Linked DNA regions of Danio rerio. The protein of the gene in region 2 interacts with the protein of the main gene of each other region in a pairwise test. Links are inferred from orthologs where the notes say so. Each region holds a gene or a part of one and is shown on either strand. Other genes may lie near its edges. The genes, in order: kctd9a, lonrf1, efhc2, alas1 and stau1.

Evidence for each region.
Region 1: the proteins of lonrf1 (region 2) and kctd9a interact in binary tests that used the Homo sapiens proteins (3 or more experiments, as listed by UniProt). The two-hybrid records come from large-scale screens. The link is inferred for Danio rerio from reciprocal best matches to the Homo sapiens genes LONRF1 and KCTD9.
Region 3: the proteins of lonrf1 (region 2) and efhc2 interact in binary tests that used the Homo sapiens proteins (3 or more experiments, as listed by UniProt). The two-hybrid records come from large-scale screens. The link is inferred for Danio rerio from reciprocal best matches to the Homo sapiens genes LONRF1 and EFHC2.
Region 4: the proteins of lonrf1 (region 2) and alas1 interact in binary tests that used the Homo sapiens proteins (3 or more experiments, as listed by UniProt). The two-hybrid records come from large-scale screens. The link is inferred for Danio rerio from reciprocal best matches to the Homo sapiens genes LONRF1 and ALAS1.
Region 5: the proteins of lonrf1 (region 2) and stau1 interact in binary tests that used the Homo sapiens proteins (3 or more experiments, as listed by UniProt). The two-hybrid records come from large-scale screens. The link is inferred for Danio rerio from reciprocal best matches to the Homo sapiens genes LONRF1 and STAU1.

What each region holds. Positions count from the first base shown.
Region 1 is NC_133183.1:61,414,452-61,417,668, reverse strand, and holds the end of kctd9a (BTB/POZ domain-containing protein KCTD9a), read left to right. Parts: coding exon 1-60; intron 61-139; coding exon 140-245; intron 246-2,038; coding exon 2,039-2,172; intron 2,173-2,470; coding exon 2,471-2,587; 3' UTR 2,588-2,707; downstream 2,708-3,217. UniProt on the Homo sapiens protein: Substrate-specific adapter of a BCR (BTB-CUL3-RBX1) E3 ubiquitin-protein ligase complex, which mediates the ubiquitination of target proteins, leading to their degradation by the proteasome.
Region 2 is NC_133183.1:15,527,310-15,531,511, forward strand, and holds the start of lonrf1 (LON peptidase N-terminal domain and RING finger protein 1), read left to right. Parts: upstream 1-1,391; 5' UTR 1,392-1,465; coding exon 1,466-2,075; intron 2,076-4,202.
Region 3 is NC_133184.1:35,469,628-35,473,693, forward strand, and holds the start of efhc2 (EF-hand domain-containing family member C2), read right to left. Parts: upstream 2,806-4,066; 5' UTR 2,708-2,805; coding exon 2,666-2,707; intron 2,227-2,665; coding exon 2,038-2,226; intron 1,944-2,037; coding exon 1,793-1,943; intron 1,700-1,792; coding exon 1,476-1,699; exon of another isoform or gene 1,472-1,475; intron 1,405-1,471; coding exon 1,153-1,404; intron 1-1,152. UniProt on the Homo sapiens protein: Microtubule inner protein (MIP) part of the dynein-decorated doublet microtubules (DMTs) in cilia axoneme, which is required for motile cilia beating.
Region 4 is NC_133186.1:320,242-324,480, reverse strand, and holds the start of alas1 (5-aminolevulinate synthase, non-specific, mitochondrial), read left to right. Parts: upstream 1-1,434; 5' UTR 1,435-1,572; intron 1,573-4,088; 5' UTR 4,089-4,108; coding exon of another isoform or gene 4,109-4,239.
Region 5 is NC_133181.1:48,966,739-48,970,254, reverse strand, and holds part of stau1 (double-stranded RNA-binding protein Staufen homolog 1), read right to left. Parts: intron 1,859-3,516; coding exon 1,708-1,858; intron 1,570-1,707; coding exon 1,398-1,569; intron 1-1,397. UniProt on the Homo sapiens protein: Binds double-stranded RNA (regardless of the sequence) and tubulin.

The DNA.
Region 1 (3,217 bases), about 46 Mb from region 2:
TATGCAAACCTGTGCTGCTCAAACCTAGAGAGAGCCGACCTGTCGGGAGCCAACCTGGATGTGAGCCCTTTATCTCTTGCTCTGGGACAAATCTCCTTCTTTTTCATCTCTCAGTTTGTTAAATGATCCTGTTCTCCAGGGTGCTAATCTTCAGGGCGTGAAGATGCTCTGCTCCAATGCGGAGGGAGCGTCTCTTAAAGGATGTAACTTTGAGGATCCCTCTGGACTTAAAGCCAATTTAGAGGGTAAAACTCCTGCATATTTAAATCCAGTGTTTATTTTATCTAGTAGAATTAAGCTGATGGACCCTTTTCACATGACATATTATGACACATTTAACGTCGTCAGCACCTTGAAGGTTTGGAATGTTTAGATTTTAGATTTTTTTTAAACGTGTGAACATTTATATGTGTTTATGAATATTTATTTACCTATATTTACATACACTGTATAAAAAGGCACATTTAAAAAACATATTTTAAAAAAAAAGGTTTTTTTTTTTTTTTACTAAACTGTTTCTCTTTTAGGTAAGTTAGAATTATTGAATTTGTTTCTGTTCTGCTTAATAGCAGAATAATGAGAGAGAGATTTTTTTGAGAAATTGTTTTAACTTTTATTGAAATTCAAGTTCACATACAGTAAGATTATTCTGCCTCTGAAAAACCTCACATGATGCTGTCAAGGTTTTGGAAGTTTCTGATTGGCTAATTGACAACATTTGAGTTAATTGGAGTCACAACTGTAGAATAGTATTTAAGGAAAACCTCAAACACACTGCTTCCTTGTGTGACAACATGGGAAAATCAACAAGCCAGAATCAACAACAAAAAAAAAAGCCAGATTACAATTTGCTAAATTACACTGGGAAAAGAATATTTTATAGAGGCATGTCCTGTGGTCTGATGGAACTAAGATTGAACTGTTTGGCCATAATGACCAGTGTTACATTTGGAGGACAAAGGGGAAGCTTACAAGCCTAGGAACACCATCCCAACTGTGAAGTATGGGGGCGGCAGCATCATGTTGTGGGGCTGTTTTGCTGTAGGAAGGACTGGTCCACTTCACAGCATAGATGGCATCATGAAGAAAGAACATTATGGAGAAATACTGAATCAACATCTCAAGACATCAGTCAGAAAATTAAAACTTGGCCACAAATGGATCTTCCAAACAGACCATGACCCTTAGCATACTGCCAAATGAGTTAAAATGTGCTTTAAGGACAACTGAGTGAATGTTTTGGAGTGGCCATCACAAAGCCCTGATCTCAATCCTATAGAAAATGTGTGGCCAGAGTTGAAAAAGCTTGTGCGAGCAAGACAGCCTACAAATCTGACTCAGCTACACCAATTCTGTCTGGAGGAATGGGCCAAAATTCCTGCAAACTATTGTGTGAAGCTTGTGGAAGAAAACCCAAAACATTTGACCAAAGTATACAGTTTTAAAGCAAAGCTAAAAAAAAAAAAATACCAAGGAAATGTGTTTAAACTTTTGACTGTCTAGAAATAAAAAAAAAAAATCTAAAAAAAAAAATCTTATTAATCTGGTATTTAGCAAATGTAAATCATTTAGGTAATCCTAACGGACCTAAAATAGTAAACATTTAGTATGATTTAACACCAGACATTAAAAAAAATGGCTATGTTCCTTTTTTCAGAGTGTATGTAAAATTCTGGTTTCAACTGTATTTGGACATTGACACAATTCTAACATTTTTAGCTCTATACACCAGCACAACCGATTTGAAATAAAACCAACAAGATGTGTTTTAACTGCAGAGTGTCAGCTTTAATTTGAGCGTATTAACATCCAAATCAAGTGACCGCTGTAGGAAGAGTTTGCATATGCGCCTCCCACTTGTTAAGGGACCAAAAGTAATCAGACATTTGGCTTCTAAACTGTTCCATGGTCGGGTGTGTGTTATTTCCTCATTATCCCAATTACAATGAGCAGATAAAAGGTCCAGAGTTTTTGGGTGAACTGTGCCTTTAATGTTGAACTGCCATGTTTTAAGCAATGTTTTTGCTGTGCGCTTTAGGGGCTAATCTGAAAGGAGTGGACATGGAGGGCAGTCAGATGACTGGGATAAATTTGCGTGTGGCTACGCTGAAGAATGCTAAGCTAAAGAACTGTAACCTGCGTGGTGCTACATTAGCCGGCACAGATCTAGAGGTGAGACGGCAGTGTTGATTGAATGTTTGAAAATGTTTAGAGATTTTTCAAAGGAAGAAGAAAAATATGAACAATTAAAGTCAGAATTATGAGCCCTGCATATTTTTTCACCAATTTCTGTTTAACGATAAGATTTTTTAAAACACATTCCTAAACATGATAGTTTTAATAACTCATTTCTAATTACTGATTTCTTTTATCTTTGCCATGATGATTGTAAATAATATTTGACTAGTTGTTTTTCAAGACACTAGCATCCTGCTTAAAATTACTCTTGATTATTTGATTGTGTGTTCAGAACTGCGATCTCTCAGGCTGTGATCTACAGGAAGCCAATCTGCGTGGTTCAAATGTGAAAGGAGCCATCTTTGAGGAGATGCTGACTCCGCTGCACATGTCTCAAAGCGTGAGATAACCACTTACTCTGCTCACCGCCCGGTAAAAGCCACCAGCCAGCTCCTCACAGCACTCTCTTACCCACAATCCTTTTCACGCTCCTGTGAAAACTTATGCAATACTAGCACTTGTTTTGCCAGCCCTCTTTGAGCTTTACTCACTGCAAAAAAAAAAAACTAAAAGAAATTCTACTTGCTTAGGATTTTTGTCCAGTTTTCGGGCCAGATATCTAAAAATTCTTCAGTCAAGAAGCACTTTCTACACAAATTCAAAATATTGTTTTGTTTTCAGAATCAGTAAGTCAGAATTATCTGAGTTTTTTTTTGTTAAAACTAGCTAAATAATCTTCCATTAGGGTAAATAAAATGTTCTTATTTCAAACTGAAACCAAAATTGTTTTGCTTATGCCATTGGCAGTTTATTTTGCTTGATTTAAGGTAAAACATTTGTTATAGTTACTAGTTACTTCTCATAAAAAGTAAGTAAAAAAAGTTAGTAACTGGATTACATCATTATAAAACTAACTAATTACCAGCGAAAGTAACTATTGCGTTAATTTTTAAAAATGTCCAAAAAGTGACCGCTGTATGTTTAATAAATTGGACACTAAAATAAATAAATTATTATAAATAAAACATTGTACACCATT
Region 2 (4,202 bases):
AATAACTTCCTTTTACTGTGAAAATTCATGCATACACACATATGAAATCACTTGCATATATGTATATACACAACTAACTGTATATATGTTTGTGAATTTTATTTTTTATGTTTGCACAAGTGTCATTTGGGTGTTTATGCACACATCAAGTTTATATTCTTATGTGAGAGTTTATGGTTGTATATGCATAGATCAAGTTTATATGTGTATGCGAGTGTGTATAGGTGTGTTTGCATGCAGCAAGTTTATATGTATGTGCGTGTGTTAATGTGGGTGTTTATGTGAGGATCGAGTTTATATGTATGTGCGTGTGTATGTGGGTGTATTCATGCGTCAAGTTTATATGTATATACAAAAAGTTTCATCCATGTTGTTTTGAACATCCAGTAGTATAGGTGTATATGCAAGTAATTTATAGGTGTATATACACGTGTTTTATGTATGTGTTGATAAGCAATTGTTTGATTTAAATCCTATACGGCACCTCATATGCTACCACTGATCTATATACACTTTTTGATAAGTGGCTGCTTCATATTTTTGTTGAAGTAATAATATATTATTTAAAAAAACTCCAGCTCTTTTAGTCAACACTGATATAACATTTTTTCAAAAGAAAGAAAAAATACATTCATAATGTTACAAAAGATTTTATTTCAAATAATTCAATCCTGAAATCACAGCAAATCAGCATACTAGACTGATTCTTCAAGGTCATATGACACTGCAAGCATCACACATTGTGCTTAACTTAATAAAGTGGTGATCGCATAAAAATGATTTCCCAACCCTGAATTACGCATATCTATCGGCCACTGATGCTTTGCAATGGGAAAATGTTATCAGACTTATCTCTTGTGCAATATGGAATTACGTATGTGTGTGTTGACCTATATATTACATGACTACCGACATTCCGACAGACTTAACACTGTTGAGTAACAGACCCAGACATTCAACCTATATGCCAGGCCCCTAGACAATTCACACAAACACATTTAGTTAACACAGGAAATCATTGATCTCTTTTCTCAAAACAAATACACATCAGTGAAACACGCAAAACAAATCCTGATGTTATATCACACACGATGTCCGGTCAGTTAAAATGTTTTTTCCACCAAAACGCCCAGCATAAAAGTGAATAACACATGATAGTCTGATGACACGCTGACTTCTCTGGATTTATATGCATGCATTCTTTCAAATCAGCCCTTTTTCTCGCTATAGTCCCGAATTGCTCGTTACAAAACTCCGAGCTTCATGTTTTGTAATGCGCCTCGGCTGCCAATGGACGCGCTCGCTCACGGTCACGTGAGTGTATTTTTACGTAACTCGCGGACAAAACGCCAGTATGTTTAGGAGCGCGAGTCACTACGTTCTTCTACACTGTTAACCGTAAGAATGCTTTGACATTTTTATCATTTATTATATTTTGCCAGTTCAGTGGGCGTCGCTCGCAAACATGTCGTTGCGGAGACTAGACCAAGACTACGCTTTGGAGGAGAGAGGACGGTTTTTTATACCATCCGAAACTGAAGGCGACTGGGACGTGGACGAGCATGTCGATCACCGTCAACTTGTTTTGCTCAAAGCTGAAGCTTTAGCGTCGGAAAACCGTCTCAAAGAGGCTGTCGATATGTTCGCCATGGCTCTCAGATACGGTCCTGTCAGGCCGGAGCAGCTGAGCAGTTTGGTCGGATGCGTCCTGCGCAACTTCAAGAAGAAATCAGAGGAGTCGCCAGCGAGAAGTGAGCCGAACTGGACACAGGACTGTGAATTAGACTGCCCTGGTTGCCACTGTTTCATAGCCGAGCCCGTGACGGTGACCTGTGGACACACGTATTGTAGGAGATGTTTACAGCATAGCACTTTTTCTCAATGCAAAGTGTGCAACGAGGACATTAGGAGGAGGCCAGGTGAACCCCGGCTGAATGTGATATTGTGTGGACTTTTAGACAAGTGGTTTCCAGAAGACGTCAAAAGAACTAAATATTTAGGGGAAGCTGAAAGCCTGTTGAAGAGTAAACAGTACGACAAGGCGATTGCACTAACGAGTCGGTTATTAGACTATGGTAAGTTCGCATCCTCCTGTTTTATTGTTGTTGTTATTATTATTGTAAAATATATGCACTGTCGGAAGGGTAATTGGGTCAAGTTTTTATATTATTAATAGGAGGTTTAAGGAGTTCCACTGACCAACATTTGGATGGCCAGCTGTAACTTACATATTAGCCCCGCCCCCCGCGGTCATGTAACAGGAGAGTGGCTGCATTACAAAACGTGTTCGCATGGCGCATGCGCACTCGCCGCGCGTTGTGTAAGGCAGGTCGTGACACAGAGAGTGTTTTGTAATCTGAATCAAAGTGAGTTTTATAATAACAAGTAGAACAGTGCGTTATAGCCATAATGTTCTATTGTTTATTCACGAGACCGATGCGTGAGGGCTGTCATGTCCTGTTGGTTGAATAGTAACCTAAATCCTAAAACGCTTTTGGTAAACAACAGCTGAAAAAGGTTGCAATGTCAAAACAGGCATGAATTGTTACTTTGTATTTAACGTTTTTTATCAGTTTTTACCTTTTATGAGTGTATTTTTGGGTGTTTATGCTAACAACTAAGTTTATCAAAAGGCGTAATAGAAGTGCAAGTTGTATACCAAAATTCAAAAGCAGCTGGACTGAAAAGACTGCAGACTATATATATATATATATATATATATATATATATATATATATATATATATATATATATATATATATATATATATGTGTGTGTGTGTGTATATATATATATATATATATATATATATATATATATATATATATATATATATTTACACACACACACACACACACACGTATGTGTGCGTGCGTGTGTCTGTGTGTGTATATATGTGTGTGTGTGTAATATATATAATTTATATTCATTTTCATTCATTTATTTTGTCCTATTTAGATCCTGAATACCCATATATAACCATGACACATTAAGTTCAGTATGTTATGTTATGGAGAACCTTGAATTTCTATTCCAAATGTCTGGATGTCGACAAATTCCTCTATTCGGGTTATAAACAGTATTACATTACATCAGCTGGTGATTCCTGATTTAAAAGAGATAATCTTTGTCCTTTTTATATGAGTTTATATAACTTTTCTCACATCAAAATATTCTTATTATTATTATTTAAATGCATTGTTGATTCATAAAAATCAAGTGGCAGGCAAGAAAACATTGAGTTGCATAACATATATATAAGGTCATCTTGTGTAGTTAAAATTGGAAGGACTTTTTTATTTAGTAATCACACTGTGTTCTGGGCACATGTTTTGATAAAAGTGTGTGTTCCAGATAAGTAACATCATTGAGCAAATCAGAGGTACAGTATAATCATGGTGCGGCAGTCTCATCTTCACTGCTGTGTCCTCATTTACCCTGCTGGAGGAAAAAAACAAGGCAGCCCTGCAGTGTCACTCAGTTCATGTTCCCTTGTGGCATGTCGGTTCACAAATGTCTCTCGTTGATCTTCTCATCTTACACATCATAAAATCTCGGGGATCACGAGTATGAAAATTAATGACACAGCGCCTGTCAGACTGTAGAGGCAAGATAGTGCAGCTGGATAGGGTAAAAAAAGGCAACAGCTAAGAGTTATTACTATTTTTTTTATTTTCGATTACATTAAGATTTTCAAACTCATTTTGCATTGCAGCTGTATAAAAAGTTACATTTTAATCAAATAAGGCATTGTTTTGTTAAATATGTGCTTATTTTCATACTTTTCTATCACAAGCATCTGAGCATTGATTGAAGTCAGACTGAAAATTCCTTTTATTATTATTTTTTTGACATATTAGAGAAAAAAGTTTTTAAAGAAGGGATTTGAGGAGTCTTTTATACATTTATACACTCACCCATCCTGTCTGTCTGTCTGGCTATCTCACCATCTCTCAATAGTTACATTACATATGCAATGTTGAGAGTTTATATGTTGGGATTGTATTTGAGCATAATGATAATTGGCCATAAGTTCGCAAAACACGAGGTTTGTGGAGTTTAACCATAATAAAAGTTTATTATTTGCGTGTGTTTTTAACACCTGTGACTTTGCATCCCCATTTCTAAATTTAGTAAAGATTTATTTTATTTAACTATGTACAATGTTAAATCTAAAATAAAATTAAATCTGGACTTTACTA
Region 3 (4,066 bases), on a different chromosome or scaffold from region 2:
ACTTTTTAATTTTTAAATTATTTTAATCTATAAATTTAGAACTCTTTATATTTAATTGTATGTGCATGTTAATGTTCTGTTTATACTGTACAATATTCCTGTAAGTGACAAGAATTTTGTCTAAGGAAAGTCGACCTTACTGTCCTAATTAAATAATTAGAAAACAAGGCATAATCATATTTTATTTTGGTAAAATAAGATGAATCTAGAGGTCTTTGTCTTTCATATAAGCCACTTCTGATACCAAATGATCAACTAGAAGTCCAGTTATTATTAATTGTTCCTAAAACTTGGATAGGCGACTTTGGTCAGGTAGTGTCGAAACGTTTAACAAGATTACAGTACAAAAACCTTAGTTGGCAATACATTTCTGTTACTTTCTGGAATTATTTCTGTACATATATATAATTTTCTTAAAATTTATTGTTTTAAACTACTAAACATGTCTATTAAGTTTACTTTGTTAAACCGTAGAGATGTTCAACATTGGAAGTTGACAGCACATATAGCAAGGTCTAATATTACTATCTGAAAGCATAATTAAACAAAACAAAACACCTGTGAGATACGTCAACTTTTAAAACGAAATGAATACATCCTTTAGTGTGACAATTCTTCAGAAAGCATTGCGTATGCTAATTTGTACACTCATTCATTCATTTTCTTTTGGGCTCAGTCCCTTTATTAAAAGGGGTCGCCACAGCGGAATGAACCGCCAACTTAACCAGCATATGTTCTACGTAGCGGATACCCTTCCAGCTGCAACTCATCACTTATTCACACACATACACTACAGACAATTTAGCTCATCCAATTTACCTATGTGCATGTCTTTGGACTGTGGGGGAAACCGAAGCACCTGGAGGAAACCCACGCGAACACAGGGAGAACATGCAAACTCCACAAAGAAACATCAACTGAACCAGCCGAGGCTTGAACCAGTGACCTTCTCGCTGTGAGGCGAATGTGCTACCCACTGCACCATTGTGCCTCCATTAATTTGTACCTTGTAAACTGTTTTTTTATTATACTTGCAATAGTTTTGCTCAATGCATTAGTTATATATGTGATTCTCCTTTACAGATATGTTCTTTTCTAATATGTTTATATATATATATATATATTTAAAGTAATGTGCTGTTTCTTACTAACCTTGGGAAGCTTGCCCCTGTGCAGAAATTTAGGGACAGTGTCTCGACCAGAGTTTGGAGGAACAACTTCGTACATTTCCATGGTGTCGTCTGCCAGGAAGTAATGCAGGATCAGCTCTCTAGGGTCTCCAAACATGCTCTCACTATCATCCCAGTAGCAGTAGAAGCGCAGGACTTGGCGGTCATGCTCTAAAAACTGCTTCAGGGTATCCAGTCTTTCATACGGCCGCAGTGGCTTCATGTTCTCTTCCAACTGTCAGGGGAAACACACTTTATAATACGGAAGTTCTGATATTGCTATTTAGATCCCTGGTGCTCACTTGCCTCTTGTCGAAGGGTAGTATAGGGATCCGCTGGTGTGGAAGCAGGAGGATTCAGTCGGACTCCCATTTTTATCAAAAAGTTGCGAGTGAAAGGGTCACAGTCTGTGATCATAAAGTTTCTGGAATAAAACACGACTTCCTGGTTGATGTTGAAATGGTGCACATTGTAGAAACAATCATCTTTAGGAGCTGGTAGAGGAATGCGGTGGCGCCGAATCAGGGTTCCTGTACAGAAGAAGAACAGCTGAATTTAGACAAGATGTTTTTAACTGGTTTGTCATTAATCTGGAAACTAAATGTTTGATTCTGATGGTTCACCTTGTGGGATGCCACTGTTTTTGAACTCTGGCTCCACCACTTGTATGGTGTCATCCTCCAGGTAGAAGTAAATCTTGCACTTTCGTACTCTATATTTTTCTTCCCTCCTTTGAGGAACATCTTCATTGAAATAAGCATCAAAACACAGGACCTTCAGGTAGGTAAATAAAGGGGGGTAAATTTGTATATTTTGCCAAGCACTAGGTGAAAAAATAGGTATATTATATTCTTATATGATGAAAAACCTGTTTGTCAAAGGCAAGCCATGCTGGAGCACCACTGCCCTCTCCTTTTGGAAACCGTGAATATTTGGCTCTTGCACTCTGTCCCAGGAGCAGATCTCCTCCAATGCCCGGCTTCTCTGTCCCAACCATCATAGCTACTCCATTTGAATAATCAAAATGCTGAGACTTGTGAAATTTGTCTTTTCCAAGCTGGAAAGAGATTTGTTTTCATTATTGTGTAAGACAAACTATATCAGACCATTTAACCTGTTATTATATTAGATCAGTTTCCTTCATTTGCTTTTAGTGGTTTAAACAATTGAACTGCCTACTTACTAACAAATGAACTAATGCATAATGTGTAATAAACACATAAGTTACATTTTTTTTATCCATCTCGTTCAATGGTATGTTCAAAAAGGTAAATCGTCATTTTCTCTGACCACTTTTATCGCACCTGACGTCGAAACTGTGCTTAAAGTTAACTTATATTGAATCATAAATAATAACGTTAACGCATAACGTTATATTAAGTGCTTTCGAAAGGATAAATTGCACTTTTGCTCTTGCACCAATGTAAGTTAGCTTAGAAATGTCCTACAAGGCTTTTTATAACAGGAATTTATTTTAGATTTCTGATATTACTTACGTTTCTGTTGACTGAATTTCCAGGCAGCATTGGTAACGCCATGATTATCAGCGAATTAACGTTATTTTTCCCTCAGTTGGACGACAGCCGCAGACGGCACAACTGCTCGCCACGGTAACGGTAACAACTTGTTTGCAAATGTCATTGCTAGGCAACGAAACGCAGATAACGTGACAATGCACAGTAGTCACTATATAATTAAACTATTTAAAACTAATGCTTAAAATAAATAATTTTATAGACTTCTTATGTGAAATAGAACATTTAGTTTAATCACTTAGTAAATATGATCTTTAATGCTACTTAATGCTAACTAAAACTCTGAAAACTGAACTGACACGGTTTCACTAGAATCTTCTATGTAAAACAATCCACATTGTAAAATAAAAATTATACTATAAAAATAAAGATTAATACTTTTTTTGCAATTTTTTTTTGATTCATTTTTAATGTACTTTTTTTTGGGTTTTGCTCTTTATCCTGTGTATCTAATGTAAATATTGTGTAATAGAACTTCTCTTTTACTGTATTCTAAGTTGTAATTTACAGTTTCCTGGTATAAAAAAAACAAGCAAACAAAAACTAATGCTTAAAATAATAGACTTCTCAATAAACAAAAAGGTTGGTCTTCAATATCACTATATGATTCTTAAAGTATAACGTTAATAAATTAATCAAAATATAATAAAAGTAGGCTAACTAATACCAGGCAGTTAGATATCACAAATTAATGAAATACTATTTAAAACAACAAATGTTCTTTTCAGTTTAATAATCTACTGCTACACTCTTTTAAAAAGCTTGTTTAGTTAATAGCATTCATAGTCATATCAAACAACATCAAACTGACTTAAAATATAAAGTTAAACTTCGTATAATTCAGCATAACTTTAGTTGAAACCTGATTTACTTATTAAAATAAGTTAAAGTAAAAAAATCACCTTGACATTTTTTTGTCATGTAACTTTTTTCAGTTATGACTGTTGATTAAACAGCCTTTTTTTCTTTCCTTTTTTTTTCTTAGAAATGTACCACTGTAAAAATCTGCAGGGTAGCATTTAATAACTTAACCCACACAGATACATTATTATTATTATTTTTACTTTTTAAAGTCGTTGTTTTTTGCAACACTGTAAAACACTCAGATTCATCCAAACACAATATATTGTCATTTAAATTCACCATAAAACAGATGTTAAGATTGTCCTGTTTTTCATATCAAATTGAAACGATTCTGAAATGAGAAAAAAACCTTCAGGAACTGATTGGATCATTGGAGGATAGGCATCGCTAACAAAATGATGGAAGACTGATAAGTAGACAAAAGTAGGGTTATTGCTAGATCACATACGGTTGTGGCCGGAAGTAAACAAGAATTATTTATATTATGTATTAAATTTC
Region 4 (4,239 bases), on a different chromosome or scaffold from region 2:
GGAAGTCAAAAATTCCTGTTTGATTATTTTACAGCTGATTTTCCATATGTCTCTTTTGCATCACTCTTTATAATTTAGAAAATACTGCAAAGAGATGGAAAATTTGCAAATAAACCAACAAAAAATATTTATTAAAACATTTATTGTGGAACAGAACTATAATATAGCTTTTAATCAGGCAAATAATGTCTATGGCTCAGTGCAAAATGTGTATAATTATATATGTGTAATGAGCATATAGTGTATAACTTGTGCAATAATAGTTTATTATGGTTTTATTTACAGACACAAATTCAAAACAAAAACTTAAAAGTGAATTTCATGTGCCTCAGTTTTATCTCACTTTTAAACATATTATAACTATTAAACCTGCTTATATATTTACATATTTTACATATTTATAACTTATAAAAAATCTCTAAATCAACAAAGTGCATGTAAGAGAAGTGTGTTCATCTAGTTTATAGCTTCATTTATAATGGGACAGAGTAGTTCACCAACTGAAAACGAACATTTCCTCAATAGTTCTTCGCTGTTTCTTTATTAGTGGCTGTAAACTTTAATGATTTCTTTCTTCTGTTGAACACAAATATAATAATGCTGGAAAAGCTGACTCCAATAGAACAGACATATCTTCCAGCATTCTTCAGAATATCTTCCTTTGTGTTGAACAGAAGACATAAACAGGTTTGATGAGGTGGAGGATGAGAAAATGATGGTGGGATTTACATTTGTGTGTGAACTGACCCTGAAAACTTTAAGGAAACAGTCCTGTTGTTTTTACTCTGAGTTATGTCTGGGCTATTCCTGTAGCAGGGCGCGTCTATACACTTCCTTTGACTTTCTGGTGTAGTTTCCTCATATTAATGACATAAACAAACACGAGGACACATGTATCATACTGATCACAACACACGTGTTGATCAATCTGGGAATTATCCGCCTCGTGTGCTCAGGGTTTGAGGCGGTGCAGTCTAGAAGGGATACAGCTGCGGTTACTCATACTTTTTATGACCCACCCTGTACAACAATAATTCATATTTTACATTACTGTGAGGGCTGGGGTAGGTGTAGAAGTTTGTAAATACAATTAATGGGTCATTTAATAAACAATACGAACTCAGTATACTACTGTTTACGTGAGGGTTGGGTTAGGCGTTAATAAAATACTATTTAATGGGTAGTTTAAAAAACAATATGATTCGTCTCGGTGTAATTACTGTTTTTACATTAATGTGAGGGTTAAGGTAGACGTTTATAAAATACAATTCTCGTTAACTTCATTTCTCGCCGCAGCTGTATCTCTTCTAGCAACAACCGGTGTCGCCATAGTTTGCGCGGAAGGAGAGGCGTGTCCTCGCGGCTGCTGACGTAAAGATCGCGAGATCTGCGGCCGCTGGTGCGATATAATCCCGGAGCGCCGCTCGCCCTCTCGTTCGTCCTCAGTGCAGGATAACGACGCACATCGCTCATTACGGCTGAGAAAACAGGCCAGAGACGGCATAACACTAACAACCGACCACCGGACAGCGATACCAACAGAACACACCCGCGATCTCGGAGGAAACTGAGGTGAGGCGCGTTCATTAGAGGTCGCGGCGCGTTTAATCATGCGGCTTTCTAACTGTTGACCTCTGAAGACTCCACAGATTAACTGTACATCTGCATTTATTTATGTTTTATATCTTATTAAAGGTAGAGAGAGTTCAGTAGAGGATACGATGGTCGTTTTTAATGTACATTTAGCAAATTTAGCTAAAACGCCTCAGGTTCCTGTCAGGTTTGCTAACGTTACGTCACGTGACGCAGAAATCATAACTCTTAACATTAGCCGGTAGGTTAAATTACTGTACTGTACTGTACTATATTGATTTGTAATGTAGCAGAGTAGTGAACTGTTAGTGTAACGTGAGGTTTAGTTTCCGTGTGTAAGTCAGCTGTTTCCCGGCAGGTGAGCTGACAGTATCGGTGAGTCACTGTCGGCGCTGTTCTCTGACTTCATCAGGAATTAATGAGGTCAAGTTGGTTTTATTTTCACACATTGGGTCATTTAATGCTCTCTATATTGTTTACCACTCTATTTTGAATATCGAGTCTGAAAGAGCATTTAAATATGAATTCTAAAACAACATTAGCACTGTTTAATTGACCGTGAATAATGCTGGAATGCACTTTGATGGTCATTGACTGCTGATATGATTCCCCTATTTAGAATTTGATAATACTTTTCTGAAATGAGATTGTGAAGGAGAAAGTCTGAATGTGCGAATATAAAAACAGTTTCTGCTGTTTTAACTCGTATGAGTATGGGATTGAGGGAAAGTTGGTTTTAAATTCACACATTTGGACATTCTCTTTAATAATTTAATATCAGAAAAGTGTTCTTTGCTCATTCTAAATGGTGAAATCATATAATCAGCCAATGGCTATCAGAGTACAGCATTGTTTACAGTCTGATCCTTACATCCAATTTTGACCTAACATTCAAAGTACCATGGTAAACAATATAGGGAGGGAACCACTGAATACATGTGAGAATATAAAACCAACTTGACCTCAATGAGTATCGATGATGATGATGATGATGATGATGAGGGCTGAGCTGAGAGCAGCTGTAAATCTGTGTGGAATGGGCTTACTGTGATTTGAGTTTGAGTGCTCACACACAGCTTTAAGGAGTATTAGTGTACTGTGTGTGTGTGTGTGTGTGTGTCTAATGTTGAGGCGGTAAAGTATGTTTTATATTCGCACATTAGTTTAACGTGTTGTTTATTACACTGCTTTACATATTTACATATTGGGTGTGAAATGGCATGTAAATATGACTTCATAACAACATTAGACGTGTTGGTTAATCTGCATTCATACAGCGTCTTCAAGAAGTCCCAGTGTCTGCAGGAGCCTACTGGAGGTCTGCAATCTGGAAGTTCTATCACAAGTCTGATTTGAGATAAAGCTGTTTTGTCTATAATGTGTTCTTAGGATGAGGGGAGATGGCTAAACCGAGCATGCAAATGAAGTGTTGTTGTCGGCAGGGTAAACTGCCTTTTCAGGTCTGATCTCATCATGTTCTGGAGACAGAAACCGCCTGACCAGTTGACCGAAAAGAGAAAACAAGTGACACAGCCGTGCTGTGAGACTGACACTTTGCATTACTATGGAATATAAATTTATATTCCCTCAATGGTAATGTGATTTACTGCTGTATAATCATTTATTTTTATTTTGTCTTAGTCAAAAACAACAACTTTTTTCCCCAATTAACACAATATATTACATTTTAGGAAACATTTATATTATTTTGGAACCGTAAACATGTCAGGCTACATAATTAAAATAAACCATTGACTTCTACAATCTTTTTTATCTTCAAAAATCTTCAAAACAGATTTCCTTACAACACATAAAAAAACTCTACATATACCTTAGAAACGGTATAAAAAACATTTGTGCGGTTTTAATACCGAGACTTTTCCAGACCGCAGTAAACCTTGTAACCGGTTATCATCTCATGCCTAGAATGCACACAGACTCTGAGGGAATTGTCACCGTAGGGCCCCAAATTAAGTAAATATGCTCATAAATCAGACAGAATGAAGTGTTTAGAGATGTAGAAGTGCAGAGTGTGTGCTGTGAGCGTTGAGTTTAGAGGGAGACGAGAGAATACACACACACTGTACAGAACAAACATCACTACAGCTGTACCGAGATATACGAACGTGTGTGTGTGTGTGTGTTTGTTTGTGTGTGTTTGTTTGTTTGTGTGTGTTTGTTTGTTTGTGTGTGTTTGTGTGTGTTTGTTTGTTTGTTTGTTTGTTTGTGTGTGTGTGTGTGTGTGTGTGTGTGTGTGTGTGTGTGTGTGTGTGTGTGTGTGTGTGTGTGTGTGTGTGTGTGTGTGTGTGTGTGTGTGTGTGTGTGTGTGTGTGTGTGTGTGTGTTTTTGAACTCTCAGTACTGAGGTTGTGGCTCAGTTCCAGTCATGTGAAAGTGACAGTAACCCTTCACACCGGCCGGCTGTTAATCACCATGACAGTGCACTGTGTAATCAGTCAGTTGTAATTAACCTGCTCTCTGTTCTGTGTTTTCCAGACCTCACTGAACCGTCAGCTATGGACGCCATCATTCGCTGCCCATTCCTGTCCCGCGTCCCGCAGACGTTCCTCCAGCAAGCCAGGAAGTCTCTGGTGGCGTATGCGGTGAAGTGTCCTGTGATGATGGATCTGGCCTCCAGACCCCTGCT
Region 5 (3,516 bases), on a different chromosome or scaffold from region 2:
ACAATTTAACAAGATGGATAAGATGCATGTATTTTCCTTGTATATTCTAATACATTTTCAGGAAATAATTAAACAAAAGTTGCACAGGCTCAGAATTGCAGAGAAAATACATTTTCACTTAATTAGTGTATGAGATGGATTTTAGAATTCCATTCAAAAACAAAAAGTAGGCAAATACAAATGTTGAAAATGTCAAAAAAAAAAAAATAAAAATCAGTTCAACAGCAGACAACTGAATAAAAACTGCATGTATACAACAAACATAAATTATACTCTAAAAATTGCTGGGTTCCACAAACTTCCCTCATGTTGTGCCAACACAAATAGATTAAGTTAACCCCCATTTACGTTATCCCAAAAAAATCTCAAGAATTGCGTTTCAGCACATTTTAACTAAGCAGTTTTAAATCTTTTCAAGTATACACTGGTATCTATTTGAAACAAACAAAAATTTAAAATAATTATTAACTTTTAATTTAAAGGGAAAATGAAACAAGCAACGCACATGAAGTGTATATTACAAATACTCACTTTCCCCTCATTTGGCACCAATTAAATTGCTTGTCTGCTTTGGACATCCGTTTCCTGCTTGACTTTAAGTTCATTATACTTCTAATTCACTTTGTAATCGTTTCAGCATAAATAATACATTACTTATATTCTGGAAAACACCTTAGATTAGGTTCAAGCTCACAAAGCAGGGGTCTGATTTATAAAATATGCATAGAGCAAGAAACCTTCCTAAAAGTGAACGTACAACAGAATAATTATGTATTTGTTAATGAATATGGCTCATACAATGATTACAAGTGGTTCAGTTTAGTCAATGTTTGAGTTTACTTGGGTGGCACTGTGGCTCAGTGGTTAGCACTGTCACCTCAAACCAAAAAGGTTGCTGGTTCAAGTCCTGGCTGGGTCAGTTGGCATTTCTGCGTGGAGTTTGCATGTTCTCCTCATGTTAGCGTGGGTTTCCTCCAGGTGCTCCGGTTTTCCCCACAGTCCAAAGACATGCAGTACGATGATTTGGATTAACTAAAATTGGCCGTAGTGTGTGAGTGTGTGTGTATGTGAGAATAAAAGTGCATGGGTGTTTCCTAGTACTTGGTTGCAGCTGGAAGGGCATCCACTGCATGAAACATATGCTGGAATAGCTGGCGGTCCATTCCGCTGTGGTGACCCCTGATAAATATGGGATTAAGCCGAAGGAAAATAAATGAATGAATAAGTTTACTAAAATCTAAGCCCATTCTCCCATCAAGAATGTTTTTACATCACAACTTTTGTGTGCGCACATTTCCGCCCTATTTTTGATGTGTGCGCCATGTTAATAAATGAGACCCCAGCTCATTTCGTAGAATAATCCATTAACAGCATGTAATGAACATGACCCGTCTCACCTCAGTTATTTGCTGCAATATTGGCTCTTTCTGCAGGTATTTGATAGCTTTGGCTGCAGCGTCATGTTTGGCGGCCTGACGTGTGCGGCCCTTGCCATGAAACTGTTGACCACCGATTGACAGCTCCATATGATACAGTACTGGCCCCACAGGAGGAAATGGGTAGTAATAACTGCTCAAAAACAAAAGACATGCCTGTACATCAATCCTACTGCATTTGTGCTAAGAGATTAATCACTGGCTATCACACAAGACAAAATGATGTTATGCTTTTAGGAAAACTGAACAGATTGGAATAGAAAGTACATACTGCTGCATGGAGCGTGCATACGGGCTTGGTGCTCTGATGTTGTAGTTAAATGCTGGTCTCATCCCCTGGTAGGCATCTATAGGTTTATAGATGGGCTTTTTGCCCAACTTCATACAAAGTGCATTAAGCTCCACAGTGTGGGTTACATTATCTGCATGAGAGAGAGAAGCATGTCAAAGAGCTGCTTGCTTATTTATAAGGGTTCAAACTATTACAGTAATGTTAGAGAATACCATTACAATTTGTAGATAATTAAATTTACATATAAGCTAATTCAATTCAACAATCTTTCTAATGTGGTGAATTGGTGATCAAGAAAACCGTATTATCCACTTAAAGTTATAGGGCTTAAAAGCATTTCTTTAAAACAGATGACTTTTATTTGGATTATAAATGTCTTTACTGTAGTATTTGTTCAAATTTATTTGGGATTAATTTAATCTCTTTAAAAAAATGTACCACAATGTACCAATGTTTTTTTTTGTGATAGCAAAGCTGAAATTTCAGTATCCACTATTAAGCCTGATTTATACTTTCGCCTGGTGCCGCATCGAGCACCACCACTGACTGTGCATCCACCTCACAAAACGGCCAAGGCTTTTATACTTGATGCATTTGCTGTTGTGATATTCTTTAAAACAACAGGGGGCAGTCAAAAGAAACGGACTGTAAAATCAGACGGTTAAACAGAGAAGTAGAAAGTTTCCGGAACTGCGTCATATCATTAATATTGTTCAAGATTATTAATAAATTATTTTAACGATTATAAGCATTTTTATAACCGTTCAAGATTTTTTTTTATTTAAATTTGATGCATCACTTGCTTTCGTTGATATCTTGGACAGTTCAACCTTCAAACCTTCAGTTTAACCAAAAAAAAAGTACACTTTCTAAAATATCTAAAAAAAGTAAAGACTTTTTTTATTTAACCCACTTAACAATTCACACATTACTGTCTGGCTAGTTTGTCCTCTACCTTTAAGCTAAAAAGGCAATAAAGGTCCAAGATTCCTGACCATTATCACCTATAAAGCCTAAAAAAACAGGCATCCGTATATTGTAAACCAATCGGTTTAAATATTCCTTTCCAGTTATCAAAAAAAAAATAATAATAAAATTAATGATGTAACTTTATTTTAGCTTAGTAAATATTACATTGTTCTAAATTATAATATATACACATCAGTGTAAAACTTATGAGTGGTGGAAAAACATAATCTGTAATTGTTTGATAAAACCATCTGGGTCTCCCCTTTAGCTACGGCCTCTCTTTTTGGTTTTAACAAACTTATTCTTCAAGTTTTTCTAAACTTTTTAACAAATCTTTCTTCCTTTCCCACTGCTGTTGCAATTTCTAGCCAAGAATTATTGGTCATCCGGTTCTCCCTATAATCAAACATGGACAGACTATAAAGATATCTGTACAGTCGTACCTGTTTCAGACAAAATCTCTTCAAAGTGGTTCAGATTCAACTCAAAGCAAATGCGGCGCGTGCAAACTGTTTGTTCGAGTCTCAAAAAAAATCTTGCACTTCGCCAGCCAAAAGCATTTCACACGCACCCAAAGTGAACCTCCGCAAACACATTGATGGCGTCACATTCACTGCACGCACTCAAGCGAACTAGCGGACGCGTTAAGTATAAACCAGGCTTTATGATCACCTCTAATATGCTAATCTGGTGCTCAAGAAAACATGAGGAAAATGTTATTACAAAGTTATTACAAAAAATGGTTATATTACTACTACCAATGTTAAAATTGTTGCTTACTTTTATTATTCAATCTTAGGGCGTACTCTCACTAGTTAC